4 linked regions of the Astyanax mexicanus genome follow. The protein of the gene in region 3 interacts with the protein of the main gene of each other region in a biochemical or structural test. Links are inferred from orthologs where the notes say so. Each region holds a gene or a part of one and is shown on either strand. Other genes may lie near its edges. The genes, in order: nck1b, itk, lcp2a and ptpn6.

Region 1 (8,619 bases), on a different chromosome or scaffold from region 3:
ATTTTTTCAATTTTGAGCCCAGACATCACGATACTGAGACTGCTGTAATGTGCGGTTAAAGAGAAACTGATGTTATTTGGCAGGATAAAGACAGCACCAGGTCCACATCCCATGTTTAGAGCCTCAGTAAATAAAGGATAGGTGCCTACACAGTCTAAACAACATCTGAAGACTGTTAGCATTGAAATGAGGCTTGTATTGAAATACCAACTAAAAAGTTGCTATTATTGCAAGTAATAATAGCAAACGTATTAGTGTAGTACTAAAGTTATGACCTTTAAAACTCTCTCTACCACTTAATATGACTAAGAGACTTCATGAGATGTGTCTTAAGCCTATCCCGTCAAATAACTTCAGTTATTCTTAAAAACTCACATTGCAGCAGTTCAATATCATGACATCTGAACTCAAAATGTCATGAAAAAAGAATAAAGGTCCAATTGCCATTACGGTCTCAATAACATGATGTCTGAAGCATCATTTCTCAACAACTGGTTGGTGGTTTTAGAAATCATGTTGATTTACTGAACTACTTTAATGTGATGCCATTTAACAGGACAAACATAAGATAAATATATAAAAATATGTGTCTCACTAAATGTGAAAAAAAAGTGTCTCACTAAATGTGGTCTGAGTATATTCTTAAACACTTTTATGAAATATAGATGAGAACATATCACACAGCAGATTTTTTTTTTAATGTGTATAGGTTAGCTTTACTTTGTAAATGACATTTGGCATGATAAATACAGCACAACTCAACAACCCATTTTTATTTTGTGCCTCACTAAATATTTTTGTAATGAAATATACTGTATCACACATGATGTACAGTTGTGGTCAAAAGTTTACATACACTTGTAAAAAAACATAATGTTATGGCTGTCTTGAGTTTTCAATAAGTTCTACAACTCTTATTTTTCTGTGATAGAGTGATCGGAACACATACATGTTTGTCACAAAAAAACAGTCATAAAATTTGGTTCTTTCATAAATTTATTATGGGTCTGCTGAAAATGTCACCAAATCTGCTGGGTCAAAAATATACATACAGCAACATTAGTATTTGGTTACATGTCCCTTGGCCATTTTCACGGCAACTAGGCGCTTTTGGTAGCCATCCACAAGCTCCTGGCAAGCTTCAGGTCGAATGTTTGACCACTCTTCTTGACAGAATTGGTGCAGTTCAGCTAAATGTGATGGTTTTCTTGCATGAACCCGTTTCTTTAGCACTGTCCACATGTTCTCAATGGGGTTTAAGTCAGGACTTTGGGAAGGCCATTCTAAAACCTTAATTCTAGCCTGGTTTAGCCATTCCTTTACCACTTTTGATGTGTGTTTTGGGTCATTGTCTTGTTGGAACACCCAACTGCGCCCAAGACCCAACCTTGATGGCTGATGGTTTTAAGTTTTCCTGCAGAATTTGGAGGTAATCCTCCTTCTTCATTATCCCATTTACTTTCTGCAAAGAACCAGTTCCACTGGCAGCAAAACATCCCCAGAGCATAATACTACCACCACCATGCTTGACAGTAGGCATGGTGTTCCTGGGATTAAAGGCCTCACCTTTTCTCCTCCAAACATATTGCTGGGTGTTGTGGCCAAACAGCTCAATTTTTGTTTCGTCTGACCAGAGAACTTTCCTCCAGAAGGTTTTATCTTTGTCCATGTGATCAGCAGCAAACTTCAGCCGAGTCTTAAGGTGCCTTTTCTGGAGCAAGGGCTTCTTTCTTGCACGGCAGCCTCTCAGTCCATGGCGATGTAAAACACGCTTGACTGTGGAGACTGACACCTGTGTTCCATCAGCTTCCAAATCCTTGCAGACCTGCTTCTTGGTGATTCTTGGTTGACTCTTGACCATCCTGACCAATCTCCTCTCGGCAGCATGTGATAGCTTGCGTTTTCTTCCTGATCGTGGCAGTGACACAACTGTTCCATGCACTTTATACTTGCGTATAATTGTCTGCACAGTTGCTCTTGGGACCTGTAGCTGCTTTGAAATGGCTCCAAGTGACTTCCCTGACTTGTTCAAGTCAATAATTCGCTTTTTCATATCCACACTGAGTTCCTTTGACTTTCCCATTGTAGCTTTTGTAGCTGAGTCTAATCACTGGGTCAAATGAGCCCTATTTAAATGGGCTCATGAGAAGTCAACAGCTGTAGTCAATCAGAATCACTTACAAGAAGTGAAGAGGCCATGACATGAAGCTAATCTGATTGACACAACTCGCTACATCACCAAAATTGACAATTTTTGTTGCTGTATGTATATTTTTGACCCAGCAGATTTGGTGACATTTTCAGCAGACCCATAATAAATTTATGAAAGAACCAAATTTTATGACTGTTTTTTGTGACAAACATGTATGTGTTCCGATCACTCTATCACAGAAAAATAAGAGTTGTAGAACTTATTGAAAACTCAAGACAGCCATAACATTATGTTTTTTTACAAGTGTATGTAAACTTTTGACCACAACTGTATAACTAGGTCTAGTCTGTATAATGAGAGGTTAAATGTGTATAACTAGTTCATCTTTAGTTTAATGTGATATTTGGTATTTGACAGGATAAACACAGCACAGGTCAACAACTTATATTTACTTAGATCCTCACTAAGATTTTAGCTAAGCAATATAATGAAACATCCTGTATTACACATGATTCATAGCTGGGTCTAATCTGAATACATCCTGAATAGCTCATATAGAAATATATGGCGTTAACAGCAGAAATGAGAGGTTAAATATATCTATATAGCTTATATATACACTTTAATGTGATGATATGTGGTTGGTATTTGGCAGTAAAAACACAGCACAGGTCAACAACCAATATTTATTTAGTGCCTCACTCATTTTGGTCTAATAATACTGGAATAGTTTAGCTATGAAATTTAAGGATAACATATAGAAATGTCTAAATAAAAGACATGGGAGATATGGGTTAATAGGTAACATTAGCTATAGTTACTGTTAGGGGTGGTCGATATGGCTCTAAAATAATATCACGATATTTCAGGGTATTTTTAAGTTACACTTAAAGCTTCACAGTAAATAATAGACTACTTTTAAGACAGAACAGCCCTATTATCACGACATGGATTTTTAATACCATGATATTTCTGTGTGACGATATATTGTATACGATATAATACTGCCCACCCCTAGTTACAGTAGGTATATAGGAATAGCTTGAGGTCAGTGAACAGTGGCAATGATGGTTAGCATGACAGCTAACCAACACAAAACAGAGCAGCCCGTGATTTAAACGGTGCCAGGCCGGCGTGATTCACCTCTACTCCATCTCTCATACATCTTACCATCTTATTTACAGACCGATAAAGTGTATTTAATTTAGAAAAACACGTTTTAATCCGGTTTAATCCCAGCAAGACCCCGTTTCCCTGTTTTTCTCATACTAAAGCTAGAAACAGCAGCGGGGTCTGCGGTTAGCATCTCAGCTAGCTAACTACTACAGCCATCCAACCAAACCACAGCCTCAAATAAGCTACTAAATAAACCTTTTCCAGGTCTTACCTTCAAACCAGCCTCTCCGAATATATTGCCCACGTTTATTCACACGATTTATGAACCATAAACATCCAGAAAACAATAATAATAGCGCTATATTAAACATTCAGCTAACGCTGCCCTCCTGCTCTACAGCCAACCGTCACTCGCCTTTATGGGACGCTATTCCAGCACATCCAGCGGGACAAAGCCCCGCCCCCCAACCGCTATCTAACTTCCCATTGGAAAGCCACCGATTCAGTCCCGACTCTCATTGGTTCGCGTATGGAAAAGCAGATCCTCTCATTTGAAGATTCCCGCGTCTATCATTAAAGACCACTACACGCTTATTCCCGCCTCTTGCTAACTTTTGTCACTGGGTGGAGTCAGAACGCTCAGACTCGATTCTCATTGGTTGTCAGCGAGAGAGAACGCCCCTTATTGGCTAATTTGTACGTCAATCATAAAGATGCGTGGCCCTGCTGCATGTTTCAGGTTTGTTTCCAATGGAAAGGTTTTTTTTAACCCTCTTTCTATGGCATAATGTTGCCCTCTGGCAACAAACTATTTTTTTTTCAACAAACCTTTATTCATTTATTTACTCAGCTTTAATATTTAATGTTACACAGTTTGCACGTGGCTTACATGTTATATATCTATGTAAATGGAAATATGCATATGTGCAAAATTAAAGCTCTGGAAAAAAACATAAGAGGCCACTTGAAAATTATGAGATTCTTCCATTTTACCACATTGAAAACCTCTGGAACATAATCAAGCCATCAAACCAAGCTGAACTGCTTGAATTTTTGCACCAGGAGTGGCATGAAGTTATCCAAAAGCAGTGTGTAAAACTGGTGGAGGAGAACATGCCAATATGCATGAAAACTGTGATTAAAAAAAGGATCTGAATCTTGAAATTACAATATTTTTATTTGGAATTTGGGAGAACTGTTGTCCGTATTTTACTGAATAAAACAACAATGTTCATTTTACTCAAACATATACTTATAAATAGCTAAATAAAAAAAGCTGATTCAGAAACTGAAGTCGTCTCTTTATTTTTTCCAGAGCTGTATGTAAAGAAGTATATTTGACTGTTTATATTATTACTATAAACATACATACTTGTTGTAAACTTTTTATTTGTTGCTTTGGCAGCTTTTGAGAGTTTATTTCGTACAACTTCTGCAAACTTAAGTAGATTTAAGTATGTGTTTTTTAAACACCTTTTTAATACATTTGAATTATGTTGTAAATATACTACTTTGCGTATTGATGTGCATATTGTGTACACCTTAAAGCTAGTTGGAAAAAAAACTACACTAAAGTGTACTGTAAGCAGTATTTATTCACTACTTTCTATATTTTCTAACAACACAACGTATAATTGGTGAGAGGAGGTCTCCAGGACTAGAAATGAGCACCTCTTCTGCATAATCAATTTCTGTTGAGTAGATGATAGTCTTTTTATGGAGGGTTTTGTTAGAAGCAAATCCAACCATTAATTATTACAGCTTTCCAAACCTTAATGAAGATCAAGAAAATGGGATACTCCAAATTGCCCAGAAAAAACAATTGAAAATTAAAAAAATCTAAATTGATTTGTATATGTACTGTATGTATAGGTATGTGTGGCGCTCTGTCCTGGGTAAATGCTGTAGTGCGCGATGCAGTTCTCCAGTTGGACTTTGGGGTTGTTTCCGGTTGAGAGTATGCTGTGCGCTATTGGCTGCTGCTTCTCATCGGTGTGTGGATGAGTGCAGGGTATGAATGGTTGTGTGTAAAAACTTATTAATTGTTAAGCGTCCTTGGGTTTCAAGAAAGGCACTATATATTTAACTTCATTTATTAGTTTCTTTGTTTATTTAAATATTTATTAATTTATTTTGTTATTTATGTGCCTTATTTATCAGACTTTCCATTTTAATGTCAAAGAGTGACTGAAGATCTCCACATTTAATGTGACAAGAAATCAAATCAGTTTAAATGAGGCTTCTGCAGCAGGCCTGTTTCATGTGGCATGACTATGTGTCATGTTATCATTATAAGGCAATATGCCATATCCTACATGTTTGACCCCAGTTATTACAGCATCTTTCCTGTTTGATAGACCCGGCATGTCATCCCTCCACCACTCTATTCTCTGTCCGCTTGCCATTAAATTAAACAGAAATACGTACTTGTTGATCGTTGCATTTGTTTTGACTGTATCTTCACTCATCCGTGAGCGATATTGTTCATACACACCTCGACCTCTTACAATCGAGGGAGTCGAATGGAGGGGCGCAGAACACACTCCAGGATGCAATCTGTTTCCTGCACAAACAGATGGACCCACTGTACATGTCCTAGAGCCCCCCCCCCCCAACCTCCCCCAAACACACACATGCTCAGCATAGTGCTACGTATGAACACTGTGTATGAACCATATGAACCGTTCATACAGTCTGGAACATGAAGAGTCACTGTAATAAAGCCTGAGCTAATTAGCTGTGAGCTAATCCTAATCAGAAAGACGTGGAGAGAAGATTTAATGAATTTTAGCTCGAGGTTATAAAATTAAAATGCTAATTTTGCTCCATCCGTAAAAGCTTTTGGCACATTATCATTTACATAACCCAACCACATGCACAAATATGAGCCAACATGGTGACAACAACAACTGTGATTTACAGCCTGTTTTTTACAGCCTTGCTATTACGCATTATAGGCCTGTTTGCAAAGCAGCCTATTTAATGGGTGACAACACCAGGGGGTGAATGTTAAGGAAGATGTACACCATGTGGCAAAAAGTATTTGTACGTAATTAATTTGTAAGTATTAATTACAGGTGCACCTCAAAAAAAATTAGAATATCACTGAAAAGTAATTCACTTTAAAATGTGAAAAAAATTATATTAGTGATAAAACTACTTTATGGTGTAATTATTTTATGGTTAAAGATTATGACTTTTATGACAGCCAATGAAAACACACAAATCAGTATCTCAGAAAATTAGAATATTATATAAGACCAATTGGTGCTTTTGGAAGTGTGGGCAGTGTGCCATCTCCTGCTGAAAATTGAAATCCACATCTTCATAAAAATTGTCAGCAGCAGAGGGAAGCATGAAGTACTGTAAGATTTTGAGGGAAATCAAAACTGCACTGACTTGATAATAAAACACAGTGGACCAACACCAGCAGATGACATGTCTCTCCTCTAAACCATCACTGATTGGTGGAAACTTCTCACTAGACTTCAAGCAGTTTGGACTGTGTGTCTCTTTACTCTTCCACCAGACTCTGCTCCCTTGATTTATAAATGAAATGCAAAATTTACTGATGGTCAGTGATGGTTTGGAGAGACATGTCATCTGCTGGTGTTGATCCACTGTGTTTTATTATCAAGTCTAATGAGTATAAGTCAGTGCAGTTTTGTTTTCCTACAAAATCTTACAGCACTTCATGCTTCCCTCTGATTAGCCTGAACCATATTGAGAAGACCTGCACGAAAAAACAGTGGAAATCATTGTTAAATTGTGATTTTTGAAATAATATTTCATATTGCTAATTGATTCAATGATCTGCTGACACACAAAAAATATATATTGTAAGACAATATTATTACATTGGCATGCTAAAAAGATATGAGATAACTGTTTTTACAGTAAATTGACCATGTGTTCAAAGTGTTATCTCATGACTTTGGAATTTCTACATGTCTAATGTTCCATTTCTGAAGTTGTGCAGGGATTTAATGTTCTTCGGTCCACAGTGTCACGTGTGTACTGTAAATACATCATGGAAGGCATTAAAATTAAAAATACTTTTTTTTTTTTAAATCTTACAACACTTCATGCTTCCCTCTGCTGACAACGTTTATGGAGATTATGCAGATTTCATTTTCCAGCAGGATTTCGCACACTGCCCACACTGCCAAAAGTACAGATTGGGGTACCACTTTAAAATAAGACTACCTTCATAAAGGGTTTATAAATGGTTTACTATTAGTTTATTAATGGTTACTAATAAGGTTGTAAATGCTTTAAAAATCATTAATAATCAGTTATAACACATACGTAGAAAAGGCAACAATATAGATAGCTGTGGGTTCACTATTTGGCAAACAACAGGTCATTGTTGCCCTTTCTACGTATGTGTTATAACTGATTATTAATGATTTTTAAGGCATTTACAAGCTAATTAGTAACCATTATTGACCATTATTGGTCTTATATAATATTCCAATGTATTCTTTATAGCAATAAAATATATCTTGTCATTTTAAGCCCAGTAATCATGTATTGATGTATCCTTATACGGTACAGTATAGCATTCATGCAACACACACAGCACTGCATACCTGTACATAACTCTGACTAAACTGAACACAAAGTGTGAGAATCTACAGATTCCTGTTCAGCAGCTCAGCTCCACTCTGCTCCCAAGAGGCCAAACACTGAGAGAACACAGAGAGATCAGTATCAGCATCTCAACCACAGAGGAGCAGCCCGTCTCTGAAGTGCCGCCTGGTGGAGCAGGTGGGCAAAGGCCTTGTTACAGTCATTACCATGAAATGAACAAATCCTTTGAGCACCCCATTGGTCATTTCCACCACTGCAGTCATACCAGCACTGCTCTTACACAGGCATGGTGCCAGCAGCTGAACAGAGACTAAATCGCTTTGGCTTGTGGTGGTGGTGGAGAAAAAAAAGGCCAATCAGAAAAGGATGGCAGGGCTGTGGGCTGCTGGAGTAGCCGAGGCAGCTGTGGGAGTGCTGAGGATGGCGTGAATTTCATTTGAGCGCCTGCCGCAGGCCATCAGCATGACAGCAGGCGCAAAACGTCAGCAGCAGCAGCAGAAGAGACTGAAGATAACACAGCCAGCACAGAACAAGCTGTGTTTGAAGGGGAACAGAAATGCAGAAATGTTCCTGCCTCAAGCAAATAAACTGTACTCAGTATACTGCAGTACTGTTCACTATATGGACAAAAGTACTGGGACACCTGCTTATTTAAGGATATTAAAAGAGTTTATCCTGCTTTTGTTGGAGTAACTGTCTCAACTGTCCAAGGAAGAAGGCTTTTTACTAGATTTGGAAACACTGCTGTGAGGATTTGA
Region 2 (7,961 bases), on a different chromosome or scaffold from region 3:
ATTACGCAACTTTTAGTGAGAAAATTAAATAGTGCAAGTATGGGGGCAACCCAGATTTACACCAAAGAAATCACGTAAGAACATATTAAAACAATTACATAAAGCATCTCACATTCTACGCTAGACTGTAGCCTTAACATTCTTTTCCTAAATGCCTAAAAGTCTTTCCCAATTTGCATACTTTTAAACAAGATGAAATTTAAAAATTTCAAGAATGTCCTTATATAAAAAACAGATCAAAGACTGAGATTGAGTGTTCCTATAGGATAAAGAAAAGTTTATTTTTAATACAACACACAATAACAAATACCAAAAGTATCAAAGTATTAAACTTCAAAGCCCTATCCAGCATATCGTCGCTGTCTAACAAAAAATACTCTCTAAATCAGCTACTTTACAGGAGAGAGATAAAACCTTCTTAACTTTAATGGACATCAATGTATAAAGAGTTTATTTCAGTTAATTTTGGAGAACTTATATTGATCCATTCATAAAGAAATCTTGACACAGTGTAATGAACGGTTTTTGTGTTCAAATTATGTGAAAAACAAAAAATTGACAAAAATGGAGATACTTGTTTTTCATTGGAGAGTGACTATACGAAGTTATCTAAAAGGTGCCACACCTTTGCCAAATCCAACTTGCCTGATCTTACATCAAATTAAGTTCATGCTTTATTTCAGTATTGTTATCCCAATAAAAGCTTCAGTCTATTTGTTTGTTTTTTAAGTATTTTTAAAAAGATTGTAAAAAGTATGGTGATACAAAATGATTGTTTTACTGATTTTAATAACACTACAGAAGAAAACTAACTGAAAAGGAGTTAATGTGAGCGAGAAGAACCTTTACATTCATGTCTATAAATCTTTTAGAATCTCAATTTCAAAAATGCTTCTTCTGTGGCATTGCTCAATAACACCACAAAATACTGAATATGAGACCACAGTAAACGCTACCTAATATCTACAGCCATGCTGTTTAATAGTTGAGTCTTGCTGTTGTTAAAATCTGACATTCCTATTGTAACATAAAGTATATACCAAAAGTACAAATATGCTGTCTGGTAATTACTGTTGTAAGACTCGAGTCTGGTCTCCCATAAAAAAGCAATCTTAGTTTTGATCCCATTTGGAATTGGTCATGACTCAGACTTGACTTGGCTCTAGAGGTCTTTTATATTTACATGAAATAATATTTATCTGGTCTTGAATTTGACTCAGACTTGATATCTCCCAGTCTTGGTCTTAACTCTGACTTAACTAACAAAAGTTTTGGTCTTGACTCAGACTCAATATGTTAAAGTGTATGTCTAAACTTGTCTAGACTTGGCTCTAGTGGTTTTGACTTTTTATATTTATATACAAAAATCTTTAACCTGATCTTGACTCGGACTTAACTACGAAAAGTCTTGGTTTTGACTCGGATTTGATTCCTTAAAATCTTGGTCTTGACACCTACTTGAGTACAAAAAATATTTGTCTTAATTCGGACTTGGTTCCCAAAAGTCTTGGTCTTGACTCTGATTTGATTCCCAAAAGTCTTGGTCGTGACTTAGACTTGACAACAAATTTCTTGGTCTTGACTCTGACTCAACTACAAAATAGTCTTGGTCTTGACTTCCGATTTGATTCCCAAAAGTTTTGGCCTTGACTTGGATTTGATTCCCAAAAGTATGGGTCATGACACAGACTTGACTACAAAAAAAAGTATTTGTCTTGATTTGGTTGTTTTGGTCTTGACTCAGACTCGACTAAGAAAAAAGTATTGGTCTTGACTCGGATTTGATTTCCAAAAGTCTTGGTCTTGACTAGCACTCGAATAAATAAAGTCTTGGTCTTGACTCTTATTTAATTCCTAAAAGTCTTGGTCGTGACTCGGACTCAACTACAAAAATGTCTTAGTCTTGACTCGGATTTGATTTCCAAATGTCTTGGTCTTGATTCAGACTTGACTACAAAAAAGTCTTGATCTTGACTCTGATTTGATTCCCAAAAGTCTTCGTCTTAACTCGGACTTGACTAAAAAAAGTCTTAGTCTTGACTCTGTTTTGACTTTCAAAGTCTTGGTTTTGATTCGGATTTGATTACCAAATGTCTTGATCTTGACATGGACTCGTCTAAAAAAAATTATTGGTCTTGACTCAGACTTGACTGCAAAATAAGTCTTGGTTTTAAGTCGGATTTGACTGCTAAGATTCTTGTTCTTGACTCAGTTCTAGTGGTTTGAAATAATTTTTTCTGGTTTGGGATATTAATCTTTATATCGGTATTGGCCACTGACTAGCTGACTTGATTACCACAAATCTTGGTCTTGACTCATATAGCCTGATATAGCCAGTCTTGGTCTTATCTCAGAATCGATATAGCCCGCTCTTGGTCTTGACTCAGACTCGATATAGCCAGGTCTTGGTCTTGTCTTAGACTCGATATAGCCTAGTCTTGGTCTGGACTCAGACTCGATATAGCCCGGTCTTGGTCTGGACTCAGACTTGATATAGCCCGGTCTTGGTCTGGACTCAGACTCGATATAGCCTAGTATTGGTCTGGACTCAGACTCGATATAGCCCGGTCTTGGTCTGGACTCAGACTCGATATAGCCCGGTCTTGGTCTGGACTCTGACTCGATATAGCCCGGTCTTGGTCTGGACTCAGACTCGATATAGCCCGGTCTTGGTCTGGACTCAGACTCGATATAGCCCGGTCTTGGTCTGGACTCAGACTCGATATAGCCCGGTCTTGGTCTGGACTCAGACTTGATATAGCCCGGTCTTGGTCTGGACTCAGACTCGATATAGCCTAGTATTGGTCTGGACTCAGACTCAATATAGCCCGGTCTTGGTCTGGACTCAGACTCGATATAGCCTAGTCTTGGTCTTGACTCAGACTCGATATAGCCCGGTCTTGGTCTTGACTCTGACTCAATGTATGCCGGTCTTGGTCTGGACTCGGGCTTGGCTCTGGCTGTAACTCCATTTTTATATCATCTTACTCCCACAATAAAAATGTACATATATATATATATATATATATATATATATATATATATATATATATATATATATATATATATATATTTATGTATATTGTACAGCAGCGAGTGTACTCACCCCAGGGCGACGCTCTGAATAGGTCAGGTCCTCAGTGTTGAGTATGAAGTAGCGCTCTTTATAATTGCAGGGGGAGGTTCTGCGCTTCTGCTGAGACTTCTTAAATAAAGTTCCCTTCAGAATGACCCGCGGGTACGTGTTAGGGTTAGGGTACATGAGTCTGCTGGAGGAGCTGAGCTGGGCTCAGGCATTCCTGCTGCTGCTGCTGCTGCCGTGGAGTGTGTGTTACTAACAGAGATCATGCGTCTGTAGACTAACACTGGTGCATCATGAGTTATGGGCTTCCGGAGAAGATACACCGGGTAAACCACTTCCTTAGGTAGGTATATGACACAAGTGTGCTCTCACACACACACACATACACACATATATACACACATACAAACACATACATACAGTACCAGTCAAAGGTTTGGCACAACTTACATACAGTGTTTTTTTTTTCATTATTTTAAAATGTTCTGCATTGTAGATTAATACTAAACTCATCTAAACCATGAAAAAAACATATGGAATTATTAATTATAGAAAACAGTGTTAAACCAGAATATGTTTATATTTTACATTCTTCAAATCAGCACCTCTTGCTTAAATTAGACAGTTTTGCACATCTCTGCTGTATTTTCTCAGTCAGCTTTATGAGGTAGAGTCACCTGGATTTCAGGTTTTCAGTTAACAGCTGTGCTGAACTCATCAAGAGTTAATTACTACTTTTTCAAATTTCTTGCCTCTTAATGTTAATGTGTTTGAGAGCATCAGTTGTAAAGTAGTGAAGAGGTAGAGTTACAGGTATACAGTAAATAGTGAATATTTGAATAATGTTCTAATCCAGATTATGAGAAGCAAGAACTACTCAACTAAATGAAGAAAAATACTTTAGGAAGAAATGAAGGTATTATCATAGGGCAGGAACCTAATTCATTTTAATTTGTTTTCCTAAGAAAACCCATTTCTTCTTCACTATACTAAATAGGGGAAAATATGTAAAAAGATGTTACACCCAGTTGTATATGTTTTTAAATTTAGCCTTATTTGCTCAGAAAATTAGACTGATGAACATGACAAGAGAATCATGTTTAAACTTTGAACACAGTTCAGTGGAGCAAAATGGTGAAAGTATGTTCATTTAGTGAAATTAACATCTAAATTTACATTTTAATAAGTCATGGCCACGCATTATTGCCCATGAATGTTAACCACACTTTTATACATAAAGATACCATTTTTTATTATAACAATACATTGATTAAACGTTTAGAATATATTGTAAACTTTTATATTCTACTAGCAAAATATTTTAATCACAAACAAAAATTTTAGATGCAAAACTAAGCTTTGCAGTTTTTGATTAGTTTAACAATTATCAGTTACATTTTCTGACTGTTTGAGGCTAAGTGCAAAAGTCTAAAATTGGATAAAAATGTCATTATTTAATTGTTTACATTAGTGCAGTGTAGACGTTTTTATCCATTATTTATAATATATAGTTTTTTCTTCTCTGTCCCTCATAATCAGAATTTTAGGAAAATTTTAGGATGATTTTTTTCATTGTTTCATTTTGTAAATAACATTAGTTGAATTACACCATCAGATTTAATCCAAAAATGGAAAAAATCTGAATATCAAGAAAAGATTCACTTTTTAAATTAAAAATTCTGAAATTCTGTTCACGAAAGGCAGAAATTGAAAAACTGGATTAAAACGCATTTCTTCTTTACTATACTGAATTTTAAAAATAAATAAATAAATAAGTTTTACATCTAATTTTGTAAAATGTTAAAATTGAATAATCAAAAAATAAAAAATATTATTTTTTTTCCTTTTTCCTGACATTCCGATTGTGAGGGTCAGAGATGAAAAAAATAAAATTGGAAAAATGGATGAAACTACATAAAAAAATAAAAAAATGTGCTTTTACATCCAATTTTCTAATTTTGCATTTATCCTCAAACGGTCAGAAAATTGAATTATTAAACGTTAAGATGACCCAGTTGTTTGACGTTATTTGTATACTTGTTTGTTAAATACATAATAAAAAATAAAATAACCATAGCGTGAATTAAACAAATAATTATTAAATAAAATTATTAATTTTAAAACATTACAAAAAATAAAACGTTTACAGCGCTGTTGTTTTGAACACGCCTTTAAATGATCTACACCAATCACAGCTCCCCTCCCTTACCCGTGTCGTCCAATCAGAAGGCAGCTTACAGTCCGGGCTCGGAGGCGCTATGAGAGCAGGAGCTTGGCTGGGTTGTGTTTATTTTGTATTTTATTAATAATCTGTACAGAATTCCGCGCGGTTCGGCTGCAGTTTGGTATGTAATAATTTCTGTATGATTTACTGCAGTAACTGGAGCTGTTTACACGCGTTTAGGGCTTTTAAAATACTTTTTATTTAGATGCTAACTAAGCAGGTTAGCATTAGCGACGAGCTAGCTAAGCTATGCTAAAGCTAATGTTTTAGATTTAGGGTTAGATAGGTTATATGTGTATATAGGTTATTTAGTTATATATTTCAATGTATTTTTAGCGTTTATACGACTCTAAACCTCGTTAAACAGTGATTTAATGTGATTAAAACTTTAAAAATGTGCTGTGTTGATTATATAGGCATGGGACCTGTGTTGTGTCGATTTTAGCAACATTGTAAAACTATGCTACCCTAGTAGGTGTGTACAATATATTGTGACACAGAAATATCGTGATATTAAAAATCCATATCTTGATAATTGGGCTGTTCTGTCTTAAAATTAGTCTATTATTTACTGTGAAGCTTTAGGTGTATTTATTGTATAATTGTTTCAGTTTGCAGTTTATATGCATGCACTAAATATTCTGCAATATTATTTGCTGCATTATATTATTTTATGCTATATGATTTATTTTGCCACATTATGATTATGCTGTTAAACTGTTATTCTATATTCCTGAAATTAATTAATTATTTTTCTGTTTTCCTATATCGGCAAGTATATCGTTATCACAAAAAATACTCTGAAATAACGCGATATTATTTTAGAGCCATATCGCCCACCCCTATACCCTAGTGTAAATTTGCTGGTAAAATACAAAATATTAGAATATGTATTAGAAGTAGAAGTTTCGGATGATATTTGAATAACCTAAATTGCTGTATCAGGGTAATTAGTGGATGGATGGATGGATGGATAGATACTATAGTATAGCTATTGCAATATTGAAGACTATATTAAAGCTCTACTGGAGCGCATGCTGTATGAATTATTCTGTAAACAGTAAATAGTATTAAACAAACAAGAATCTGTTTTATACTTTAGATTCTTAGCACAAAAGTATCACATTTATCTTTGAGGACAGATCTGCACACTCTCAGTATTTTAATCTCAGTGTCTTCATGAGGGAGAGTCACCTGGAATAGTTTTCTCAGAGTCTTGAAGGAAGGAGTTTCTGGAGGTGCTGAACAATAGTTGCTGCTTTTCCTTCTTCACGCTGTGCAGCTCAGGCTCATCCCAATTTAAATCACCTCAAATCACCAACTCAGTTCATCAGGTTTAGATCAGGAGATTAATGTGGTGACTAACACTTTTTTTATGTTTACTACGTAATTCTATGTGTGTCCCTTAATCGTTTTTGTGTCTTTAATCAAGATTAATCTACAATGTAGAATTGTGTAAATTAAATAAAGTAATTAAGAAAACATTGAATGAGTAGGTGTGTCTAAACAGTACCAGAAATTATTGCTATAAACTATATATTATTGTCATTTTAAGACCAATGTATGCTACAGATATAATGATAACAGAATATAATTACAAAGCAATATATTTTAAAGACACTGTATGTATGGAGTCACAGTTATTGAAGCATTGGTCATTTAACATGACTGATTCAAATACTGTTTATTATATAAGATAAGCATTTTTTAACGGGGTTTATCTCTAATTGTTAAAGTGTTTCTAAAACTCAACAAATAATAACTATACTTCTATGTTGTACTAATTCATTTGGATTTAACACACTATTTCATTAATTCAAATGGTCATATGTTTGTATTGGTATCAGCATAAATGTACACTATGTCAAGCTTTTCTGTTTTCTCTGTTTTCTCTCCGTTTCCAGACGCTCAGGATGGGTGAGCCACAGCAGGTCAGCGCCCTGCCGCTGCCGCCGATGCAGTACATCAAGGAGTACACGGACGAGAACGTGCGGAAAGGCCTGGCACCAAAACCGCCGCCTCCCATCCGAGACAATTACACCATGTTCGGCAACCAGTTCCAGTGCGACGACCTGATCATCCGGCCCCTGGAGAGCCAGGGCATCGAGCGCCTGCACCCCATGCAGTTCGACCACAAGCGGGAACTGAAAAAGCTCAACATGTCCATCCTGGTGAACTTTCTGGACCTGCTGGATATTCTGATTAAGAGCCCGGGCAGCATTAAGCGGGAAGAGAAACTGGAGGACCTGAAACTGCTGTTCGTTCACATGCATCACCTCATCAACGAGTACCGGCCCCACCAGGCCCGCGAGACGCTGCGCGTGATGATGGAGGTGCAGAAGAGGCAGCGGCTGGAGACGGCCGAGCGCTTCCAGAAGCACCTGGAGCGAGTCGTGGAGATGATCCAGAACTGCCTGGCCTCGCTGCCGGACGACCTGCCGCAGCCGGACGCCGCGGGCGGGGCCGGAGCGGGTCGGCTGGGCGGGGCCGCGGGTTTGGGAGGCGAGTCCAGACTGAAAACCGAACCCATGGATTTGGAGGAGGCGGGCGTTAGCTGCATGGCAGGACAAACGGACAAAAACATTCCAACCACAAAGAAGGAGAAAGTGTGGGATAAAGACGCTGCGATGTGCAGCATTATTGATGAAATGACTT
Region 3 (7,768 bases):
CCTATAGATCATTCAGATAGGGCCCTAAATATTAATAAGAGCTATTTCTATTCTACACAAATGTCAATCCACTGTGCCTTTTCAAGTACTATTTGTTATCACAGGCTAAAGGTGTTATATGAAGAACAGTAACTGATTAAAATACACTTATCATCAGTACCTGTTTCTTGGAACTTTGGTGCAGGATTCCTATATAAAGTATAGAACAAAAGTCATAATTATTAACAAAAAGTTAAAAGTTGAAGTAAGGAAGCATGGATTACTTATGAACGAGTTTTAAAGTGTTTGCCTTTTGGGGAAAATACTTCTCTTCTCCTCTTTCTTGTTGATTTCTCGACAGATTTTGGAGATAATTCTACAAAAGTGAAAGAAAAGAAATACAAATGATACACAGGAAACATAATATTTGGTTACCACTATTAAACCCAGAATTACAGATTATTACCCTGTGAAATGAACTGAATTCTTTGACTTTTTACTTCATGTGTGTACTATCGGCTCACTATAAGAACGATATGTGCAGGTCTTGTGAGTTGGAACTGGTGGGCGCATGAGCTGAGGGCTCGGCAGGATGTGGTAACCAAAATAGATCGTTTTCCTCCATGTACCTTAAAACTGTTCTAAAGGTAAACATGTATACACTGTGATTTTTAATGACACTCTCTTCAAAATGACCACTGTTTTGTCTAGTCTCTGATACTTTATCTCTCAGAATCATTTTCAGTTCCTTAACATGCTGCACATTCAGCCATTTCATCTCCCTGAAATACTACTGAAGTAACACATGATTCTGCTGTGCAATGGTTCCTGCCACATCTGCATGTGTTGCACTATCTTTCTTCAGCAGTGCTTCCTCTTAATGTGAGTGCATGCACCGAAACACATAATAAGAGGGTTAACACTTCATACTGCAGCGTGGACCACCTACAATTACAAGGTCACAACATTTTGATGGAAAGCTTAGAAAGGAAATGCAACCCATGCAAAACAAACAAACGTAACTATAGATAAAAAAGGAAATTCAACAAAGTTTAACAACCGCACTAAAATCTCAAACTGAACTAAAAAGAAGCAGGATACTCACGGGGAGTAAAGATTAGGAAATTTCTGAAGGTCGTTTTCTGTCATGTTCTGTAAACACAAAGAAAGGAAAGATTTTTTATTATTTCAAGCATACAATACACTTGAAAGCAAATAAAATTCATAAAACATAAAAAAAAAACATTAGAACAAATAATTAAATAAGTATAAATAAGTATAAATAAGTAACTATTACAGAAATAGTTACTACAGAAACTGAAGACATATTATTTGTCTACTAATTATTATAAATAAAATATTAGGCTCCTAAATGTTGTTTTGCCACTGTAAGTCACGTTTATAACTTGTTTTAGATTATGTACTCTCCTTATCTATGTATCAATACACAAAAACAACACCCCTCTATTGTGTATTTAAATAATTTTGTGGATAAAAATCTGATTTAATGTTATAATATAGTGTTGCTAGCAAATACACTGTTACTGCCGACGTTAAGATCTCATATAAATATAAGTCTCTGATGTCTAATACTGTCACTTGTAAGCCAAAGCCATACAATTTTAATCCATTATACATTTTGCTAGTAACAACACATAAGAGAAAAAATAAGAGAGCACCTAAAAATTATGAGTTTCTTTGATTATTACAAGCCATCAAACCAAGCTGAACTGCCTGAATTTTTGCACCAGAAGTGACATAAAGTTATACAAAAGCAGTGTGTAAGACTGGTGGAGCAGAACATGTCAAGATGCATGCAAACTGTGATTAAAAACAGGCTTATTCAATTTCTGAATATGAAAAAATGTTCATATTTTTGAATATGAACTTGTTTTCTTTGGATTATTTAAGCTCTGCATCTTTTTTGTTATTTCACCCATTTCTCATTTTCTGCCAATATTTTATTTGGAATTTGGGAGAAATGCATAGTTTATAGAATAAAACAACAATGTTAATTTTACTCAAACGTACACCAATTAATAGCAAAATCAGAGACTTTTCAGAAGCTGAAGTGGTCTCTTATTTTTTCCAGAGCCATATATGCATATGTATTTGTGTGCGTTTGCGAGGGAGGGGGTATTTTAGTGTATTTGCACATATAAGCAGTATTCAGTATTGTTCATTTGTGTTTTCTAATATAAGTGGTGTTCAAGACATAATTATTACTGATACATAAATACATAGCTGATACCAAATACATAGCTGTATATATAATTCTAATCTTTTTAATAATATATATGTATTTCTCGCATCATCATTCAGATCAAGCTTTATATTAACATGTAAAAGACACCTCTAATAATGGCACTTCCTTAATCCATGACAACATGCAGCAGCCATAGAACAATGACTCATATCTGTGTGAAGGGGAATTTTGTCTATAGATAATGCTTCTTATATCAAGAAAAATATAAATATAACAAATATATATATATAAAAAAATATTTGACAGTTTTACGGCAGGTGATTGAATCCATTGTTAAATTTAGGTTTGTAAAGGTACGTAAACATGCACATGGCTTATTTTGAAAATATTAAATATATTAACATGTTTTTTTCATAACACCAACAGAAAAAAGTAATGGATACAATTAAAAAGGTCTTCAGAAAGTGAATGAGATACATACCAGAAATCTCTGTCCATTCATATTGCATTTCATAATTACTTTATCACAGCCTGTCAGCTCCCGCTGTAGATGAAAATGACAAAAACACATCACTCAGTAACGCAGAGGAAAAACATAGTTTAAACACATTGAAAAATATCACGCTTTCAGTACTCTGCAAAGAAAGTGTGACATAACATAAGCAGGCTTAATGAGGAAATGTTCAGTATGTGAATGTGTGAAATCTGCATGTGTAAAGCAACCATGTCTAGACCATGTCTTCTACCCTATGTGAACCAGTAGGCCTCGCTGCTGAATTAAGTTCTTCTCCTTTAAACTTAAAGGTGTTTAAAATTAAAATCAAACTCAACACCAATAAAAACAACAACCAAATATTAAAACTGTCAGTACTAAAGTTTTAAATTGGTCTTAAAGATAGAAAAAACATATTAAAACAGTAACAAACTAACTTACCCTCCTTAGAAAGTCAGCTAAATGAGCAGGATCCCAGTTCATGACCTCCATTTTGGAAGGAATATTGTTGAAACTCATGGTTCCAAGTTTGCCACTGTCTAAAATTAAATGAAAATAAAACCCTACAAAAATAAAATGAAAAAAAAAATCTTTTTTTTTTATCTCCAAGTACTCATCACGCCAGGCACGACTCCTGAGAAGCTGAAAGGATGTTTAGCTCTGACATGCCACGATGCAACCAAGAACAGCACACTGTCTGACTTTGGGGTGGAGAAAAACACCCACAAGCAAGGTTCTAGACGTAAATCCGGCACAAAAAGGTAAGTCTTCTTGACAGAACGCTCAGCATGAAAAAAGAAAAGAAAAAGAAGTCCAAAATGTTTGAAGCTGAGAAAATGTTCCTGTACGTTCACATAGGAAGCAATTTAAAGATAGTCTAAATTCATCTATGTTACATTTGTAAATATTTAAAAAGCGAACAACACCCAGGATTTGTCTGAGCTCACTGAGAAAAGAAAGAATGACAGCACTTCCCTGTAGGTTTCCTGTTGATCACCGCGGTAAATAGGGGAAGTACAGCCCCTTATGAGAAAAAGAAATGAACAGTTCACTGTTTAGTTTGCATACCCACACTATTTCATCTAGATGTCTATTTGTACAGTACAAATTTCAACTTAATAAAGGATGCAAGTATGTATACATCTTTCATTTTTATTATTTATTAAGTATTGCCCAGTACCAAGCAATTAACCACATGACCTACAGCAAGCTTACATATATTGACCTTCATGCACCAATTGAGTTGCTGAGCGCTACTTTAGCAGGGGTCTGATGCCACATATAGCCCACCCACGGCTATGAATCTTAGAGATTTGTGATAGAATTGAGTCTATTTTCTTTTCTATAAATGCTATAAATATCCTAATAAATAGAAATGCCCAAATATATGCCTTTTAATCATAAATCCTAAATAAACTGCCAGGCAACCCTTTACTGGAGTGAAACAACTTCATATGACCAGCCATTATAAAGCAATCAGCCATTGCTTGTGGTTGTGTGTAGGTGTGGGCAGAAAGTGGAAGCAAATGTAGTTCCCATCCAACAGATGTATTTGCACCATTTCACACAAATAAGACATGTTTTATAAAAAAGAAAACCATTCAAACCATTAAGTTGGCCTCTTCCTGTAGCCTACATTTATCTAGCTATGTTAGCTCTAATAATACATCATACATCACTGTCAGATATAATAAATGGGTTATATTCTGGCTAGGGGAGCTGACAAGCACCTCTCAATTACAACACTACAAACTGTGATGGCTAGCTAAACATATTACTTTAAAATAGATAAACTTATTAAGGTTCTTAAACATTTTCATGTTGTAAAACAGATTTTCATGCGATGCTAACTAAAGATGCTAATGAAAAATGTAGCTAGCCAGTCCATTAATTGTTTTTTTAATTTGTTTTGTAATAACTGGCTGGTTGTAGCACAGAAAAACTAGTGATAGCAAAAATAGTTTTTTAACTATTAATGTAAGAATTATTTATTATTAAAGTGTAAAAAGAGATAAGGTTTAAATGCTTTATTTGGTAGCTTAAACAGTAGGCTAGCTTAGCAATTAGCGGACGGTTTATTGCCATATCCTGCAAAACGTCCTTGTAATCATACCTTTATTTTTTTTCTGATTTGGTGCAGCATGCCTAAAATGTGGCTTTACTTTGTTATATTTAGAACAAGCCATTCTATTGAATTAAACATCTAAATATCAATTTTAAATAACTGCAGATAAATATAGACTCTGCTCTCATACATCACATTTCATTTGTTCTTAGCAAAATAGATTTTATTGTCCTGTTTTAATAATAATAATAATAATAACAACAGGGATACTTTTTTAAATGTGTCAAGTAAATACAACAAATATAAATACTTGCTTAGCTTACTTAAGTAGAAATGTTGGTTATCTATACTTTACTAGAGTATTTTTTTCACACCTATTTTATTGCACTGTAGGATCCTGTGGCATGGTCTAAGCTTTTATCCTTATTTCCCCCCCTTATTTTAGCATTTTGTTCCCTTACATTAACTTGTATACTTTTACACTTTAAAGCTTAAGTTGATACTTCAGCTTCTACAGAAGTATTTTTAAACCCCAATATCTATACTTCTACTTGAGTAATGAATGTCAGTACTTTTAAAGCCTTTGCTGCTTTTATTGGAGAAACTGTCTACTCTACTGGGAAGGCTTTCTACTAGATTTTAGAGCATTCAGCAACACAAACACTACAGAGGACAGGAGGCTTGGATGATCACCAAAACCTCCTCCACTAATCAATGTATGAATGGAGCATTATTATTACAGAGAACACAATTCCACCACTCAACAGGGCAATGCATGTGAGACTTTTATACTCCTTTCTGACATAAGGCATGATACAAATAGGTTAATGTGTACCGGCTCCACAGAGTACTATTGTATTGTCTATAGGCTACAGGGACTGGACAAGCTGTGTGCACGCATTTGCACCACAGTGTCAACAATGGGTGCAGCTGAATTCATTTTACTAGAAGCAGAGTTTAAACACCTTTTACAAGCTAAAATTAAAGCACTTTTTAAGAACTTTCAAGGCCCATTTTCAAGTTTTTCCTGCACCTTTCAGCTGTGGTAAATTAATGATGACGGTGATATCTCAACACTGTGATTCAGCGATAATCAATACATTGCAAAAGCAAATCTATTCTCCACACTATGCCACTGAGGAAAAAAATAGTTCTAGGTAAGTAAATAGCAAAAATTATGGATTTATTAATGGCAGTTTTACACAATGTAACTATCAATGTTTTTCACCGCATGTTACCCTTTTCATTTGATTGAGCAGTTACTGTAGTATATCAAATTCTGGGATGAGTTGAGACCATTTATACATACATATACTCAAAATTATTGATTTGCTTTTTGTCACACTGCAAGAGATGCAGTGTATTATGTTTACGTAAATGCAAACAGAATTGTTTGGTAATATCAGAAGGAGAAGAAATTAAAGCCTTTTTCCTTTTACGTTCTGCAATTTTTTCTTTAAGCAAACTTATTTAGTCAGATAATTATTTATTGTATAGTAAATGTAGTCAGAATTTCAAGCATTTTCAAGCACTTTCTCTAAAATTTCAACACTTTCCAGGCCTGGAAAACAGACTGTTAAAATCCAAGCATTTTCCAGGATTTCAAGCACCCGCACGAACCCTGTAGAAGGGGTGTCTACAAACATTTGGACACACTGTATTAGAGCATTCAAGTGTTGTTTTTTTTTTGAGCAGGTAGTTGGTGTCTATACAAAACCACAGCTATTATTAGCTCATTAAAAAGTAAGTAAGTCAGGTGGTAATCAAAGTAGGCCAAACCAAAAAGCACCCACACTTGGAAAGTCTGAGCTTTCATTTTTTTTTCCCCCAGGCCCCACGATTGCTAGTGGAAACTTATGACACTTGAAGTGTCTCACTATTTGGCTTTATTTATGTTTATTCCCAGCAATGCAATCTGAAATTTGCACGTCCCAAAAACTTTTAACTTTCTATGTCATTCGCTATAACAATTTCCACTTCCTGTGAACTCCAGTCGATGCTGAATGTATACTGGTATTGTAGGTGGGTGTACTTAAACTAGATCAGAAAGAAAAGGTCAACTGTCAGAGTCATACAGTTGTTTACAGTTACAGTTGCTTACAGTGTCTTTTATAGTTTCAAAAGAAATGCTGGGTTTAGATTCATGTGTTCAGATCAGGAATTTAACTTAAGGGCACTGAATGAATTGTATCTAAATAAGCACAGTCCTGTGGTTTACCAGTTGTCTTCAGAACCATATAGGTAAACAATAGCGCCATCACATGGTGATAAGAGTGTTATGATAAAAAAAAAATCATCATTAAGAAAGCATTACAGTGTTTTCATCTGATTTACTCTGAATTAACACATTACAAGTCCCCTAAAATGTTAATTTTTACTTTAAAGTTAAATTTTAAACATTTTATACAGATTTATTTAATGTGGGGTGAGGTTTTGCCATGTCCACAGTGCTGCCTGATTAAGTTGAATAACTCATTAAGATTTTTAATAATTTAGACATTTAAATAATGAAAACAGCTTTTTTTGTAAAAAGAAAATCAAGCATTTAAACATTTTCAACAATGCCCTGTCATCTTGGAACAACCACACCACTTTAAGAAAGTACGGTTGTACTGTTTCCGTTTTTAAGGGACTGAAGACTCCTGCTGCACGTTCAACAATTAATAATATGAGTTTTATTTTTTTATTAGCTTAATTAAACCATAACCTCTCCATCCTGTCATGATGGGGTGGAAAAATGCATGCAACTATATAATGAAAATAAAAAGTGATTAAGCTGGAAAAATATAATTTTTCATTAGTCATATAACTATGATAAATAGTCAAAACATTTATTAAAGTGTATTACTTATCAGTGTTGGCTTGTTACTGCAGGTAAAAATTCCAGCCTGTCACTGAATAAGTGATCAACAATAACTCCTTAACCACTCAGCCAAAGCTAATTTATATTAGGTAAATGTAATTTAATTAAATTTAATAGTTTTAGAGCCACAATGAAATGAACAGTTCTGAGAAAGATCATTAA
Region 4 (8,247 bases), on a different chromosome or scaffold from region 3:
GCAGTTGCTAATGTTTTCCAGGTGGTTGCTAAGCTGTTGCTAACTGGTTGCTGGGCAATTGCTAACATATACCAGGTGGTTGCTAGGTGGTTGCTAGGGTGTTGCTAGGTTGTTGCTAAGGTGTTGCTATGGTATCCGGGGTGGTTGCTAAGATGTTGCTAGGTGGTTGCTAATGTGTTGCTAGGTGGTTGCTAAGGTGTTGCTATGGTATCCAGGGTGGTTACTAATGTGTTGCTAGGTGGTTGCTAGGGTCTTGCTAGGTGGTTGCTAAGGTGTTGCTATGGTATCTGGGGTGGTTGCTAAGGTGTTGCTAGGTGGTTGCTAGGGTGTTGCTAGTTGGTTGCTAGGTGGTTGCTAAGGTGTTGCTATGCGGTTGCTAAGGTGTTGCTATGGTATCCGGGGTGGTTGCTAAGGTGTTGCTAGGTGGTTGCTAAGGTGTTGCTATGCGGTTGCTAAGGTGTTGCTATGGTATCCAGGGTGGTTGCTAAGGTGTTGCTAGGTGGTTGCTAGGGTGTTGCTATGGTATCCAGGGTGGTTGCTAAGGTGTTGCTAGGTGGTTGCTAAGGTGTTGCTAGGTGGTTGCTAAGGTGTTGCTATGGTATCTGGGGTGGTTGCTAAGGTGTTGCTAGGTGGTTGCTATGTGGTTGCTAAGGTGTTGCTATGCGGTTGCTAAGGTGTTTCTAAAGTGGTTGCTAAGTGGTTGCTAGGCAGTTGCTAACGTTTTCCATGTGGTTGCTAAGTGGTTGCTTAGTGGTTGCTAGGCAGTTTCTATAATTTCTAAAGTGGTTGCTAGGCAGTTGCTAACATATTCCACGTGGTTACTAAGTGGTTGCTAGGCAGTTGCTGTCATTTCTAAAGTGGTTGCTAAGCTGTTGCTAGGCAGTTGCTAACGTTTTCCAGTTGGTTGCTAAGGTGTTGCTAAGTGGTTGCTACGCACTTACTATCATTTCTAAATTGGTTGCTAAGTGGTTGCTAGGCAGTTGCTAACATATTCCACATGATTGCTAAGTGGTTGCTAGGCAGTTGCTAACGTTTTTCAGGTGGTTGCTAAGCTGTTGCTATTTGGTTGCTAGGCAGTTGCTATCATTTCTAGAGTGGTTGCTAAGTGGTTGCTATGCAGTTGATAACGTTTTCCAGGTGGTTGCTAAGGTGTAGCAAACTGGTAGCTAGGCAGTTGCTAACATATTCCAGGTGGTTGCTAAGTGGTTGCTAGGCAGTTGCTATAATTTCTAAAGTGGTTGCTAAGCAGTTGCTAATGTTTTCCTAGTGGTTGTTAAGGTGTTGCTAAGTGGTTGCTAGGCAGTTGCTATCGTTTTTAACGTGGTTGCTAAGTGGTTGCTAAGTGGTTGCTAGGCAGTTGCTTTCATTTCTAAAGTGGTTGCTAAGCTGTTGCTAGGCAGTTTCTAACTTTTCCTAGTGGTTGCTAAGGTATTGCTAACTGGTTGCTAGGCAGTTGCTAACGTTTTCCAGGTGGTTGCTAAGTTGTTGCTAAGCAGTTAATAGGTGGTTGCAAAGCCCTGGCTGGGGTGCCGGGGTGTCCAAACTTTTGACTGATAGCTGCTCCATACAGCAGCTCCTCCATACACTCACAGTACTGGAGGAGCAGGGGAGAGAAGGGGTTCCGTGCGCAGAGCTGCTCGTGTGCGAGATGGAACTCTGGGCCCCCCATTCATTCCTATGGGGAAACTTTGTACGATAATTGTACGAAAACCGTACGACGTATAATTTCGTGAAGCATATTGTCGGAAAGAACGCGATAAGTTGTATAAACCAGCCGTATTTCGTCTTTGTATCTCAAAAATTGTGACCTACATAGACTTTCAAATTTCCCCATACTATTTAAGTTAAAATAGAAATTTTAGTAGTGTCCCTGGGTTTTACTCAGTCCTGTTATCGTAACACATTACCCCATCTGAAACATTTGAGACATACTACAAGTCACATCTACATCAGGAAGTTCCATCAGTTGGTTCTTCTGGAGATCATGGGAAGACCAAAATTAAAGTTCCCTTATTTGTTTTTCTGTATATTTGATAGTGTAATTATGATTGAGGAGGTCAATCTCAACACTCTGTCCTGTTACCTAAGTTAATTCTTAGATATTATTTGTTTATTTTTAAAATAATGTAATTTCTAATTTTAGAATTTCTAATTCTAAGATAAAAACTCATTCCTGTTACTTATAACATAAAGAGTAACAGGCGTGACTGTCAGTAACAGGAGTGAGTTCCAGTAATAGGAATAAGTATTGTCCTCTGCTTTATTGCTTTATTGTTTAACCAGGGAACAATATTAGTGAATGTAAAACACTTTTTTTTTAATCAATTTCAGATTTGGGTCTTCTTGAAAAAATAAAAATAGCATTGCATCTTTTAGGAGAAATACAATGTACATTAATATAAAGTGATTTAAAAACAAAATTATCAATTATTTGAACATACTGTCAACAATTTCTTTAAAATAAAGACTTCTTTGAGAGAAAATCAAAAGAAATTAGTGAACTTGTTGTAACCGTCTTTGGTTTCGAAACTGAGATTAACAGTACGTGTAACAGTTATACATACAGTACATGTGTATGTGTTATTAGATTCAGATGTATATATATATATATATATATATATATATATATATATATATATATATACGTATATAAGTATATATATATATATATATATATATATATATATATATATATATATATATATATATATATATATATAATGTGGAATAATAACATTAATAATATATAATTTCCCCGTAAATAATAAAAACAAAAACATCTGCGCTGGCTGACAACCACGTTTCCATGGCATTGATTGACATGCTACACGCTTGTTTTCGTCATGTAAAAGCGACAGTAACTCTGCGCGTGAGTTAGTTTGCTACTAGTTAAGACACGACATAGGGGTCTGTGGTGTAACCGGATTTAGTAAAAGGATAGTTTAAAACTTAAATTAAAAAGAAAGTTACCCCTCCAACAGAGAACTTCCCGCTGCAGACACCGCTAGAAAGTTAGTTAGCCAGAGCCAGAGCTAGACTAGACCTGTTCAGAGCACACACAGCTACACACTGAAACAGAATTAACTAACGTTAATTCCCTCAGAATCAGAGAGACACAGAACACACACTGCAGAGTCACTGCGACACACAACAGCAGTCTTACTACATATACTCACTAAACAGAAAGAAACAACAACAACAGCAGCAGCAGACTCACCACCACCGAGCTTTCTTCATCAGCGGGTCAACACACACACACACACACACACACCTGCACAGCGAGGAGCTTCATATACTACATTTACATAGTGCACTACGATCACTATAACCTATAGCGCTCAGAAGAGCTCCTCTCTCCCTCTCTGTATGTAAACGGTGGTTGTGATAAGAGATCAGAGCAGCATGATTACACTTCTCCACCCTGTAATTTTCCCAAATTGCCGTGTTTTGCCTGAGAGCCAAAAAAAGCCTCCAAATCTTCTTCCTAGTCAGCAAACACACACGCACGCGCGCTCGCTCTCAACCACACACCTCTGTCTCACCTGGAGGAGTGAGGAGTGTACCTGGTGTGTGTGTTTGGAGCAGCTGTCAGTGGAACTCTGTGGAGGTAGATCATTCTGTAACACGGTGAGCTAATATTTCTCCTCACTGACCGCTTCTCTCCCTCCAGTCTCCAGCCTGAGTCATCCGGGTCACTCCAACCCACACTGTGCTCCACACACAGGACCTGTCCAGACTCGCCCAGGTGAAAACCTAATTCTACAGATATGCTGAAAAACCAAACCCTTCAAATACCAAAACATATTCACAGACATACACCAGTTAATCACCCCCTCTACACTCTACAAAATAATTTAATAAGATAATTAATCGCTTTATTAAACAGAGGGAAGATTTATTAAATTAAGGAAACAACATATTATATTAACAGAATGATTTATTAAACTGAGTTTAGCTTTATTAAATTAAAGAGACAACATATTATATTAACATAATGATTTATTAAACTAAAATCCACTTTTTCTTTGTGAAATACAATAGGTCTCTCCGAGTTGTATATGCATGCTGCACATAAAACTCTTCTTTAAACTCCATTGTCTGCTAGTAAAAGAAAATGTTCAGAAAATAATATTCAGTCTATTAGAAAAAGCACTGTGTCTACGTCAACCTGTGACTTAGGTTATTATTCATGGCCTCACCCGCCTTGACTCGCGACCGCCCACAGGAAGAGCTGAAGCCAAGCAGGGATGCCATTTTGTCAGACAGAAGCTAACAGCATCAGGAACAACATGGTAGTTCCTGTGTTATTTGTAAAAATAACACATCAGTGTTATATGATTTGCCCAGTAATTCAGAGCTAAGGAACGAATGGTCTATGAAACACCATCAGCGAAGTACAATTAAGATAGGTAGGTATATGTTTTAAACAGTTCTGTTTACACAACAATCCGCCTCAAGGTTTTGTTCCAACTGCCTGGGCTCTGCTGTGGCTCAGCCAACAAAACCCCAGGGTGGATTTTTACTTTCTGGACCTGGACTACCCAACTCTTTGTGTAAGTAACTAAGTTTACATAGGATCTCCGGTGGATTTCGTGTTTTATAGAGACTATAAGACTAGGTCAGTGACTGAACTGCACTTAGCAGGGCATTACCCGTGTTGTAAAGTAACATATGACATTGTAAAGGCAGTTAATATTGTACAAATGTGTTATTAAAAACATTTCCAACTGGACCCTCCACCAGACTAAAGCAGCATACCGGATCACACACACAAAAAAAGTTCTAATATATTTCTGAAGAACAGAACCCACTTTTTCCAAATATTATTAAATATACTTTTGTGCTCATTCTCTCCTCACTTCAACTTACTCTTAATCTTAATTTATGTCTAATGTGCTGAATAACAAATTGTAGAATACAACACACAACTATCTTGTGCTTTGCAGCTCCTTCCCCTTAAGAACACAATAGACAAATATTCATTAAAAAGCACTCATAATATCCAGACAAACCTTTTTGTTAATTATTTTAATTGTATGTAGGTCAAAATCCAGAAAGAATATATGTATAAACAATACCAGGGCAACAACAATACTTACAAAGTGAGCTAATCAAACGTTTTGAATGTGGAAAATCAGCCTTGTTTTAAACGTCATCCTGTCATCATCCCAGTTGTGTTTTCTGATTGTGGGCTGGAGAAGGGACTGTGGCTTATGATGTTGACAGTCTGTGACACCATCTGGGGACCACTCAGGAATGATGTGAGGTGGGTTGGACGGAGGATTGCGAACAGGAAAGAGTTTTTTTTAAACATGGTTTGCTAAGGAAATCTCTGTTTAGAGATGTCTGAGCTCATATAAACCGTTATAGTGTGAGGGTGTTTGAGTGTATTCTAATGCACTGAAAAAAACTATGTAGTTATTTGATTCAAATGTGTACATACATTTCACATTAATAAAATATCTTACATCAAGACAGAACAGTGGCGATGTGATATATTTTATTTTTGTGGAACTTCTGTATACATTTGAGTGGCATTTTTTTTCAGCAAACAATCCCACAAGCTATGTGACCTGAAAATCTCAATGCACAGGCCTCAAGATGCCAATACGCACTGTATTTTACAGGTCAGTTGTATTAGTGTAAAGACAGGAATGAGAAGTCAGAGTTGCCTGAGGTTATTATGATAACGACACAATGTGAGACAAGGAATCCTCGCAAAGCTCTAAGTCTGATCACTGGCCGCAGAGATGCTTGGGAGGGTAGTGAGAGGAAGGTCACTCTGAGCTGTTTTAGTGCTATTCAGGTTGGGGAGCTTGTAAGGAGAAGTGTTATGGAGGGACACAGTTATGTTACAGTGGAAAATTCTTTCTCTCTTTTCATTCTAACAGCAGGGAGGACTCTCTGTACAGTACTCTGGGTAACCTGATCCAGCACAAGAGGGAACGACTGGGTGAAGCTATTCCGGATCAGGGCAGAGCCTAAGGGATGTAAGGGTCAAAAGGTCATCTGGGGCTCAGCGGGGTGCCTGCGTCTGTGTAACCTCTGGCCCACGGCTGGCCAGACGGCTAAGGATGCTCCGCTCTGACATCTGCAGGCGCACAGCGACCGGTGGTATCCGGGCGATGGTGGCTGGGAGGCGGGTGACGTCAGCCTTCATGTCACTGAGCAGCTCCTCCAGTTGCTTAAGAACTAAGAAAAATGAAGAGAGAGTTCAATTTATGACAAAATAAAAGTATCTAAGCATCCCTGATAGATCTCTAATGAGCATCTTCAGAGACTGTGTATCTCTGTGTCTATTTAAAACGTTAAGGGCGTTTTCACACATTAAAAGACCAGACCAAAGTCCGTTTTGTTACACTGTATACATGTATACACTGCAGTTTAAAGAGCACAGGAAATAACTTATGTCCTGTCCTCATCAACCAATGTGGGCTGCACCTCTCTATAAACAAGCACTGATTGATTCGTAGAATGTTGCCAGTTTGACGAGTTGCCTTTCCAGATGTTATGCTGAATTCTGCCTGCCAAAATTCGACCTCTCTTTTAATGCATGTTTCTGTTTATAATTAAGCAATAATACAAGGGAGGGACTGCTGGCACTGCTGTGCAGCCGTCGCAGACCTGTAGATGTGCCAGCAGTGCCAATATTACATGTTAATCGCACCATCCCAAAGTTCCATCATTGCTGTTTATTAAAATATTTTGAGTTAAAGAGGATGAGAGAAAATACAATCTGTTTGGTTATAAACACGCGCTGCACTGTTGCTAGGTTAGCGTGGTGGCCTCTATTTTCGGCCATTTCAGTCAAAATTGTGGAAATCTAAGCTTATTGTAAATAAATATAAAAGCTTTACTCGCCTAAATAAATGTTTTTTTAGAAGAGAAATCTGTGTAGATTTAAGTCCAGTGCTCGTTTGACTTAAGAATTAAAGTTTTGTTTACTTCGACGCCCCCCAGCGGCGAGACCTGCGGAATTACATGGGGACCCCTATTTTTCGCTACCTTAAATTTCACTTAAAATACCCTATATTAACTAATATGATATCAACTCCTATCCTGATATTGATGGCTGATAATGTTTGTTAAAATACATATATTTTTTTGAATTGCTAAGTTTGTTTATTTGTGTGAACCGTGTCTTTGCCTGCACCGCCTATTGGAGAGATGGCGTTTATGCACTGTGCCTGAAGGATACACTGCAAAAAAATCCATTGGCAAAAACTAGATAAAATCTATTTAAATGGAGACATAAATGCTTAAATTAAATCTGCCAATGATGTAAGCAATTTTTTTTATAATGTTTTCTTAAAATAAGCAATGACAAAGCCTCAAAATGAGTGAAGTAAGACTTAAATCAAGCAAAATAAATATTTTCTAGCTTAAATGTCTACACTTGTATCAGAATAACTTGACTGGTGAATTTTAGTGTTAATTTTGAGTTAAAAATACTTAAAATAAGGTGAAAATTCTAAGTAAGACTGTATAAGATAATTATTTCTAAAACATGTAAAACAATCTTTTTTTTCTATTTACAATGCTTAGTAAGACTAAAAATCTCAGCCAATCACATTGCAGAGTCTGAACTAACTTTGGCATAATAAGGCTTAATGTACAGTTACGTTAGTTACAAGAGTCTTAAGCGTAAAAAATCTAGTTATTTAAGTTATTTAATGGAATTTGTTTAAGTACCTGCATCGCTGTGTGAAAAGCTGCAATTGGTGTGCCATGTGTTTCTAGTCTAGCACACAGGCACAATATTGATGTACCTTTGTGCAGTACAGCGTTAGCAGGTTTATTTCCAGACATGGACTCCTTGCTGAGGTGCTGGTGGGACTCAGCCAGACACTCCACCTCACTGAAGCGAGTGTTGAGGGCCATAGAAGGGTGGGATGGGTCTTCCGTCATGTTAAGATATGCCGCTCTACGCAGCTGCTCTTCTATCACCAGCGCCTGCTCCAACAGCTGGGGGAAAACAAAATCTCTGTAGTACCAGCAGCGTACATGAATGTGTTCAAGTGAGTGAGTGAGACAGTGAGTGTTATGTACCTTAAACCTGCGAGCGAGAAACTTGTTTTTGATCTCAAGGAAGTTTCCACGGCTCATCTCTCCTTTGAAGGGCTGGTTGAGGATGGCATAGCGCGGGTCATTCTGAACATCCTGCCACCGAGCATAGCCATGTCTAAGAGCACGCAGAGTCAAAGATCATAACAGCAGTGGCATATACTGCAGTGAGAGTACTGAGAC

The links.
Region 1: the proteins of lcp2a (region 3) and nck1b form a complex in vitro, tested with the Homo sapiens proteins (2 studies listed by BioGRID and IntAct, with this or other methods). The link is inferred for Astyanax mexicanus from reciprocal best matches to the Homo sapiens genes LCP2 and NCK1.
Region 2: the proteins of lcp2a (region 3) and itk form a complex in vitro, tested with the Homo sapiens proteins (2 studies listed by BioGRID, with this or other methods). The link is inferred for Astyanax mexicanus from reciprocal best matches to the Homo sapiens genes LCP2 and ITK.
Region 4: the proteins of lcp2a (region 3) and ptpn6 form a complex in vitro, tested with the Homo sapiens proteins (2 studies listed by BioGRID). The link is inferred for Astyanax mexicanus from reciprocal best matches to the Homo sapiens genes LCP2 and PTPN6.

Annotation. Positions count from the first base shown.
Region 1 is NC_064413.1:49,211,624-49,220,242, reverse strand, and holds the start of nck1b (cytoplasmic protein NCK1), read right to left. Parts: upstream 3,706-8,619; 5' UTR 3,540-3,705; intron 1-3,539. UniProt on the Homo sapiens protein: Adapter protein which associates with tyrosine-phosphorylated growth factor receptors, such as KDR and PDGFRB, or their cellular substrates. Maintains low levels of EIF2S1 phosphorylation by promoting its dephosphorylation by PP1.
Region 2 is NC_064417.1:49,419,841-49,427,801, forward strand, and holds the start of itk (tyrosine-protein kinase ITK/TSK), read right to left. Parts: upstream 3,360-7,961; 5' UTR 3,263-3,359; coding exon 3,107-3,262; intron 1-3,106. Other genes in the region: med7 (mediator of RNA polymerase II transcription subunit 7), read left to right, coding at 7,220-7,961. UniProt on the Homo sapiens protein: Tyrosine kinase that plays an essential role in regulation of the adaptive immune response. Regulates the development, function and differentiation of conventional T-cells and nonconventional NKT-cells.
Region 3 is NC_064424.1:10,749,749-10,757,516, forward strand, and holds the start of lcp2a (lymphocyte cytosolic protein 2a), read right to left. Parts: upstream 3,692-7,768; 5' UTR 3,198-3,691; coding exon 3,120-3,197; intron 2,730-3,119; coding exon 2,667-2,729; intron 1,132-2,666; coding exon 1,085-1,131; intron 356-1,084; coding exon 290-355; intron 190-289; coding exon 161-189; intron 1-160. UniProt on the Homo sapiens protein: Adapter protein primarily involved in signaling pathways within T-cells, as well as other immune cells such as platelets, mast cells, and natural killer (NK) cells.
Region 4 is NC_064413.1:26,348,187-26,356,433, forward strand, and holds the start of ptpn6 (tyrosine-protein phosphatase non-receptor type 6), read right to left. Parts: upstream 3,683-8,247; 5' UTR 3,543-3,682; intron 3,408-3,542; exon of another isoform or gene 3,218-3,407; intron 1-3,217. Other genes in the region: chd4b (chromodomain-helicase-DNA-binding protein 4), read right to left, coding at 6,017-6,192, 7,770-7,965, 8,050-8,182. UniProt on the Homo sapiens protein: Tyrosine phosphatase enzyme that plays important roles in controlling immune signaling pathways and fundamental physiological processes such as hematopoiesis.